2 linked regions of the Oryzias latipes genome follow. The protein of the gene in region 2 purifies or fractionates together with the protein of the main gene of each other region. This does not show direct contact. Links are inferred from orthologs where the notes say so. Each region holds a gene or a part of one and is shown on either strand. Other genes may lie near its edges.

What was found. Proteins that work in one complex are often made in the same cells at the same time.
Region 1: the proteins of trove2 (region 2) and ssb purify together in Homo sapiens (affinity purification with mass spectrometry; 3 studies listed by BioGRID and IntAct, with this or other methods). This does not show direct contact. The link is inferred for Oryzias latipes from reciprocal best matches to the Homo sapiens genes RO60 and SSB.

Annotation. Positions count from the first base shown.
Region 1 is NC_019879.2:21,752,394-21,755,979, reverse strand, and holds the end of ssb (lupus La protein), read right to left. Parts: intron 3,355-3,586; coding exon 3,283-3,354; intron 3,201-3,282; coding exon 3,158-3,200; intron 2,195-3,157; coding exon 2,054-2,194; intron 1,975-2,053; coding exon 1,788-1,974; intron 1,697-1,787; coding exon 1,568-1,696; intron 1,490-1,567; coding exon 1,410-1,489; 3' UTR 1,331-1,409; coding exon of another isoform or gene 1,289-1,330; 3' UTR 969-1,288; downstream 1-968. Other genes in the region: mettl5 (methyltransferase-like protein 5), read left to right, coding at 586-668, 753-804, 875-924, 1,289-1,330. UniProt on the Homo sapiens protein: Binds to the 3' poly(U) terminus of nascent RNA polymerase III transcripts, protecting them from exonuclease digestion and facilitating their folding and maturation.
Region 2 is NC_019875.2:16,903,401-16,908,314, reverse strand, and holds the start of trove2 (60 kDa SS-A/Ro ribonucleoprotein), read right to left. Parts: upstream 3,308-4,914; 5' UTR 3,171-3,307; intron 2,539-3,170; 5' UTR 2,495-2,538; coding exon 1,930-2,494; intron 809-1,929; coding exon 588-808; intron 358-587; coding exon 211-357; intron 122-210; coding exon 1-121. Other genes in the region: regulator of G-protein signaling 21-like, read right to left, coding at 4,745-4,914. UniProt on the Homo sapiens protein: RNA-binding protein that binds to misfolded non-coding RNAs, pre-5S rRNA, and several small cytoplasmic RNA molecules known as Y RNAs.

The DNA.
Region 1 (3,586 bases), on a different chromosome or scaffold from region 2:
ACTGATTTAATGTGATAATGTGTTCTAATAATAATCAATGATTATTACATAACAGTTACTGTTGACTGAAATCATGAATGAATATTTTCTGACAATAATCATTTCTAGACACTGGATTTTGTTACTTGGAAAGAATCTGATCAGAACTGGATTTTAAAATGAATTAACTCGGTAGGGGTGGGATTATATAAGATCGCTTCTTCTCACTCCTTGTCAAGCAATAAATCAAGCTCTACTTGACTTTAATGATCACTGTTTTTAATTAAGCATATGTGATTTAAGTGATTTTTTTAATCTATGCATTTGATCATTTCTGTTATGAGTTTGATAAACGTGGGTAAATCCTTAATTGATTTGACTACAATGCCTGAAATAAATCAAATTAAATGTTTAGAAAATTAACCTTGTGTGTTAGACATCAAGAATGGCTATATAATTTGATGGCAGATTAACTACCAAAACCCTAAAAACAGTGAAATTTTACTTGGTTCAATTTTCTAATGGACTTTTTAAGTTTCTGAAAATGTATTGTACTCAGGCACGCTGCTTGCATGTAAATTTAATTCCATGTGGCCTTGCTTCAAGGTATGGACATGAAGTTTCTCAGAGCTGCTTTGACAATGGCAGAAACGGCCGTGTATTCGCTTCACAAGACTTCAACGCGGGAGGCGAGTTCAGCTGCTTTCCAATGTTTCCTGGTCTTTTTTTTCTGAATCTTTAAGAATTTGACATTATTCTTTATCCATTTCCAGCACATACAAAAAAAGGCTAAAGATTGGGGAGTAAAAATGGAAGTCATTGCAGGTCAGTAAAGTTCAAGGTCAAACATTTCTTTAAACTCTCCAAATAAATAAACTTTTTTCTTCTTCTTCAGAGCTACGATATGATTTGCCAGCATCTTACAAGTTTCACAAAAAGAAATCGGTAAACCTTTAAACACACGCACTGTCAGAATAAAAGCAGGTCTGTTTGTTTTTATAAATGTTTTATTTTCTATTCTCATATGCTTACTTAAAAAAAATAACCAAGTACATATTTTCTCAGTGTAGGAAGTCTACAAACACAAAACAATGCGGCACATACGTTGCAAATATCACACGTCTTTAAAAAAAAGGAAAAGAAAAAAAGCAACTAAAACATTCTGGAGAAATTAAATTATTGTTGAAAGCAGGTTTATGTTGACTAAAAACAAAATCTCTTCAGAGGAAAATCATCCAAATAATTTGAGAGGCACAACATAAACTTGAAGGCTGCAAACTGAACCTAAGCTTTACATTTCTTCTTCTAGGTCGATATTCAGGTGGACTTCCTACGTTTCTCCAAGGCCTGAAGCTTTCACTGGAATGGATTTAACTTGTCTATTTGTAATAAATGTTTTGAATAAAAAAAACAAAACTGCTTTCTCGTCATTAAGATCCATTTTCAGTTTTGGCAACTTTTGCTGCAGGGCCATCACCGTCTTCGAGTTCTCTCTTTTGGGGAGCAGGAGCTGAAAGAAGAGCAGAAAACAGACTAATGTTGTATTTATAAAAAATAGAAATTAAGTTTTTACTTGCATTAAACATACCATCTTCCTCCTCCTCGTCATCACTGTTAAACTTTGTCTTCTTTCCTTGGAACGGAGTTCTGCCTTGACCTTTCCCAGCTCTTCCCCTCCAGCCTCCTCTTCCTCTCCCACCTGATCGTCCTCTTCCTCCTTGTAAGTCAAAAAAGCAACATTAATAAACAATTTAACTTTAAAAGGTTTGAGTTTTTTGACACATTAGGTCAGAAGATAAAGAACTTACCCCTTCCTTTAGATCTGTTAAATGATTCTTGTTGAGCTCCGATGATTTTCTTCATCACTTCTTTCTCTTCGTCTCCCTCCAGCAGCTCCCACGTAACAACGTTGTCCTTGATTTTCAGTTCCCCCCCATTTGCTTCTTTGGCTTTTTCAAAGGCTTCCTTGGCATTTCCATCAAAAAGGAGGGTGCCCTTTTTGGGAAAAAAAAGCTGAAAAGAACAGTCTTGTGGACTTGACCTTTCTAATGTTATTCGTACTAAGCTAGCTTACCTCCTTGGCCCCTCTGGCAAAGTCAACCCACTTAATGTTTCCATGGCCTGAAAACAGTTTGTGAAAATCTTCTCTTGACACGTCTTCAAGCTCCCCAGAAAATTTCAGCAGACAACCCGTCTGTTCCTCCAAAAGACGTCCCTATAAAAGCAGATCAACGTAAAACCAGTTGAGAATTTAAGAAGCTTTATTTTATGAAGACCCACTTCAGTGAAAATTGTGTTTTGAACATGTTCTTGTAGCATTTTTCTCAAGATGGAGGACTTTTATAAAGAAAATTAAAACTGCCTTTTTGAGTATTTATTCAAATTGTGGTGAATCAGGAGCAGACGGGGAAAAAAAAGTAGTTTGAAAAAGATGGTAAATGGTAAATGGCGTATACTTATATAGCGCTTTCTACCTTCTTACGAAGGCCCAAAGCGCTTTACAGTCACAGTCCCATTCACCCATGCACACACACATTCACACACTGGCGGCAGCTCCGCTGCCGAACACTGGCGCCAACCTCCCACCAGAGGCAAGGTGGGGTTCAGTGTCTTGCCCAAGGACACTTCGACACATGGGCGTGCAAGGCGGGAATCGAACCTGCAATCTTATGATCATGGGTCGACCGCCCTACCGCTGCACCACGGCCGCCCCCGTGGTGCAGATTGTAGATTGTTGGGTGGAAACTACAATTAGAGGGCCACAAGCTTCCTGCTCTGCTCCATTCTGATGCATCCACTTGCAGACAAATGGATCCATGAATGTCTTTGTTTTCCTCGTCTGAGCTGGAATCTGGATCCAAACTGTTCCGCTGGATAGCTCAGATATTGCTCTGCATTTTTGTTTCACTGCTAATGTTCGGTTGGGGTTGTGGGGGGCTGTGGTGGGAGGCTTACATGTTAGCGTGGGCTTACTTCTCACCAACAACTGCGATGAATTTCTAATAAACTATTGTCGCTCTGCAGAAACTTTGTTCTAGAAAACGACAGTTTTACCGAAAAAAACGTAGTAATTTCAGCCAAGCATTTTTGGTGCAGAAATGGAAAAAAACTATGCATTTAAATAATGTGCATTATTCACACATATGTCAAGTATTTGTATAAACTCGGGGCAGCTTACCATTTCTGTTTCTTCAGCATTTTTTTGTTGTTGCTCCCTTTCCCTAAAGAAAAAAAAAAGTATTAAATGAGATTCAGTTTTCAAAATAAAAGCTACCAATAAGTATATAAAGCAGGCGTTCCTACTGTCTGGCTTTAGCTTTGGTCTCCACTTTGAACTGTTTTTTCTCTTTTGCCTTCATTTCGTGGTAGGCTTCCCTGCAAGAAACATGTTAAAATAGTTTCAATATTTGGAAAAGCCACAAATGTAACAACCATCACCAAAGAACTAAGTCGAACATGAGTGAGGGATTGAATGGATTTCCAGCTAAATCACAAAACTGTTAAATCCTCCAATTCTTTACTGTAAAGATCTACTCTCATATTGGACTGATGTCGGCTGCTTTCTACTTGAATTTAGTTTTTTTTTTTTCATTTTTATGAGCGGTAG
Region 2 (4,914 bases):
ATGCAGATTCCAAAGCTTTTAGGATGCTTTTGTTTGGTTCCCATTTTGGTTTGCCCATATAGCCATGGCCCCTTTTGTAGTTTTCTGTTGCTAAAAGTATACTGAATGGATGGATCTTTGCCTGGCGGTTTAAAAACAAATGTAAAAAGCTTAAATCATTCATCATGTGTAATTAAAAGCACATTAGTAAAACCTCGTTTGAGTTTAAACCTTCTTCAGTGCTGCTTCATCCCGAATTCTTTCACATAAAGATTGCGTTGTGGAGCTTCCTGGCTCCAAGACTTTATTAGCCGTCATCCTCCCCAGGATCTTCAGCACCGAATGGAGAGGCATGTCCTTCAACAGAGATCTCCATACCTTCAAAAAAGATGCAACGACATCAGCATTCCCACATTAGACGCATGCAGGGATGTTGTTGGGTTCTTTACTTTTTCTGCAGCTACACCAGGAGGCGTAGGAAAAAAAAAAAAACTCATAAGAAAATAAAATGCAAATTTTCCAAATGATTTTCTTGTGTGTCAAGTTGGTGAAGCGGAAGCTTATTTGCAAAAATCCCAGAAGAAACCTCATATGTGAAAACATCTCACCTGCTTGGATTTCAGGTTCTCTGTGAGCAGCTGCTCCATCTCCAGCTTGTGCTCCTCTATTAGATTAATGACCACCGTTTCATCACAACTGTGCTTCACCTTCTCTACCGCTTCCAGGTATGAGAGCACTTTGACCACCTCGTCAGAGTTTTCTTTGTCTGCATAGTAGGCCTGGACCTCCGTCCATCCTTTTGTTACATATTTGCTGATCAGGGCAACGGCTGCAAACCGGGACAGACATTAGAATCATTTTCAAGCAGGAACATTATAACCTCTGGCAAATCTTGAGTTTAAAAAGTTACAAAATCCCAAATGTTTAGAAAGTTGGCTATATTTTAAACATGTTGGTTTAATTTATGTCTATAAAATTTTGCACCAAATACGTACCAAACTGTCATTCATGTTTATAGAGCGCATGGCTACAGTACACAAAAAGGTTTTAGCAAGAACTCAAAAAGGCTACCTGCTATGTATCTAGGTATGTACCGATCTGATCGGGAATCGGGGCCGATCACGTAGTTTCAGGCTATCCAAATCCGATGTTGTATCCCGATCAGGGATGGGATCTTTTAACTATTACCATCATGACCAGTGCTACATATTTCAAGCTTCCTTCAAGTAAATGCCCATGTAGAAGCCTACATATCATGACTGGATCATGACATTTTATAGTGCAGCAGAATATGGCACTATTTGGAGCAGATAAAAGTGTTAGCAAACTATTCACAAATTCTGGGCTAAATAACTCTTTGAATAAACGTTTTGAACTGACAGCAAGTGTCTATTCGTTTTTCCTAATGCAAACAAAACCCTTCAATGAGGAATAATCGGAGAGATGGCTCCAGGAAAAGGTGATCATAGATAAAAATTCATAATCACTCAAAAACAACCAAATCAAATAAACTATGAGCTAGTCATGAATGCTCATCGTCCTTTTCTTGCTACAATGATTATAGAAGTCATTGCTTTTAATGGCGATATAAATCACATATGACCATAAATGTTCAAGGGTTCTAAAAATACTAATGCTACAGACACCAAACTTTTTCACTTGACTTATTGTCCCCTATTTTTACAAGTTCATTTTTAACTATTGTTGTTGCTTGGTTGTTCAAGCTATTTCCTAGACATTCTTGTTTAAGTGTTAACTGATAAAAGAAATATGTTTAATAAGAATAGATGAGAATCTGGATATGTTTATTATATTTGTTCTTTTTTTTATGTGTTACAATAGTATCAGCAGATCCTCAAAATCAAACGACTGATTGGGGGCACAAAAAAAAAATCCGATCGGGATATTTCTATGTAACCATTCTACAACAACTAAAAATAAAAAGCTCACCTTCTGTGGATGGTTTGGTGTGAGACAGTCTGAGAAGATCCTTGTGTGACCAGCCTTCTCTCTGCCTACATCGAGTCACAGTTGCAGCTAGAGCCATGGCATCTTGCTTATTATACCAGTCTGACACCGCCTTCCTCAGGGCGCGCCCCCAGATCCCACACTCCATCCTTTCTCTCAGTTCCTTTTTGTACTGAATAACAGCAAACAAATGGGCAGGGTCCGAGCAAATGTCCTTCAGTGCTTTGAATGCTGCCTTTCTGGTATTTAGCTTGGAGTGCTGGGAGCATAAAGCCAGGGCAAAAAAAGTGGGGCCTAATCGAACGGCCAGCCCCTTCTGCACAAACCTTCTGATCTCCTCCACCACTTCAGCACCACCCTCCTCCTCTTGAAGTAAGGAGAGCAGGGCCTCAGCATTGTCCACGCTGACGTGGCTCTCACCTTTGGCAGTGAAAATGTCTCCCTCTGAGCCGTAGCAGAGGAAGCGCCGCAGTCGGATTTTGTCCGTGATCTCCCATGGATCCTCAGCACTTGTGTGATTGTTTGTAGAGTTTGCCGGGGGCTCCATTGAGAAACTGGAAGGTCTGAGACAGAGGTAAACGAAGATGGAGCCTGCAGAGAACACAGAGTATGGAATTTCACAGGAAGTTTGACTTGTTTTTTTTTTTTGTGGTGGGGGTAGCTGGTCAAACGTCAGCTTTTTTTTCTCGCGATCAACAGCAAACAGCACCAGAACGAATGACGTCCAGTAACATTTCTTTACTGATAGCTTTACTGATAGGCAAAAATAGACTAAAGCCGATTAGGGACCATAATGATAGGTGGAAGAAAGCAAGACTCAGTTACTGAGATAATGCAGACCAAAGCGAATTGCATGTTTGAGGCGGTTAGGACAACTGACTCTCCAGCTACGGCGTTTTCAAACTAAGCTAGTTCTGACGAGTTTGCTAACATTATTATAACGTTCTCTTCAAAATATAAAAAACAATAAGGTAACAGTATTAGACAAGTAAAGAATCTTGACTAATATGTTCAGAAAATACACAAAATATTTGCTTAATTTGTTTTTTAGCCAAAACTTTAACTTCAGCGATTTGAGCTGAACTCTAGTCTAGAGTAAACCAACGGTTGATTAGCTGTCTGCTGACTCACTAAATGAAAACGGTAAGTTCACAGTCAACATATTATTTCTTCAAACAGTCAAAATATATACCGTCTACTATATGACATAGACACGGACATACCGCGGGGAAAATGCAAAAAAATGAAGTTAGGACGCAGAATAAATAATTCTGCGAGGCCTCCCGATGGAGCGGCAGAGTTTAGGGGCAGCACCGCGGTGGCTGTTGGGAGATAGTTGAGTACACGCAGGCGCAGAACAGTTCATTCGGCAAAGGCGCTGAGAATTCTGGGATTTTTATTTTTGTGGAATTTTACAATGTTTTGTACATTTTATTTTTATGTTAATGTGCCCAAAAATACACGACATAACGCAAAATGTGATGTGCTGGAAAAATGCATATTTAATTAAAAAGCTTTCATTCATTTGTTAACGTTATAAGCTCTAAACCTAAACAAGAACAAAAGAAGAACGAGTTTTATATTTCTCCCACTTGTGATTGGTGCCGATACTGATCTTAATGATCATTTACACTAGACTCAAATATCCTAGTTATCTCTCCTGATTCTCAGGTTTGCTCTAGCAAACATTTAGATGGAAATCTACTGTCACTTCTGCTGTTATTTTTACATTTTCCATTTTAGCTCCATGTTTAATGCTCATCTAACCTCCAGGTTATTTTTTTAACGTTTTAATGTGTTAGTTTTTGAAGCATTTATGTCATAGTCAACCAATACTGACAAATGACAGCAGAAAGAGGGGTATCATACATATGTGGGGAAGAAAAACAATCAAAATTATTCTTTTCTGCCACTTGCTTCTCTGTTCTTTTTAGATATACCTACATGTTGATATCGTCATAAAGTTTGCATAAACTTTGCATCTCATTTTTTCATGTAGCTGTCCCGTGTAGTCAGAATCTTCACTTACAACAGTCTTCTGCATTCTTTTTATTTATTTTCTCCTTGTGGCCATATTTTGCCCAAATGGTACCACACTGATCCTTTAAACATGCAACAAATTGATGAGGAATGACCTGAAAAACAGAACGATAAAACTCACTTGTATGTTTTCTGATCAATCATTTAGGGAGGTTTCTCTGGTCATCATGTAACTACCATACCCAATCTTGAAAACCAACCAGATACATAATGGAGTTGTCCACTTGTGCCCTTTATGGTCTGATATCACTTGGAAAAGTGACAACGTGATTAAAGAAAACAACAGGTGGGGGGGACTAAATTATAAACCAAATTATACTTAAAATAAAACTTTTATTTTATCAATGGAACATTGTGTTAATACTCTCTGATTCTGCAGCACTGATCTACAATGATCTACACACAAAAGCAATTGGTCATGATTTCATTTTGCTTGTACTTCCCCCAAGACACCACTAGATAGCACACTTAATCAAATCAACTGTCAGGTCACAAAAATGAGTTTCATCCCAGCAACTAAACAAAAAACAGATATATATAAAAAATATATTTTCATAAATAGTATTTCATTCAAAAACAATTCTGCTTAAATGTGTGTTATCACTGGAATTTTTTTGTTTTTTGCTTTTAGTCATTTCCAGTTGTTAACTTGCTGGGCCGAGTTATGGTGCTGCAAATGTGGAGGTACCTACATGAATGTCACAGCACCACATCTGCCTGTGTGACATTTTGCATATACGTATCAGCTCAACTAAAGTCAGTGCTCATGCCAGAGCAGAAGGCCATCCTGCAGCCTTTTCACTTCCAGCTCATCCCCTGCAGACTTTATCCTCATGGCTGCGCGGTGTTTCCGAAGACCGCGTGGTTTAGAGGCCGCACCAGTGAGAACTTTGTAGTGCTCGGACTGCAAAAAGCGCGAGAAAGAGT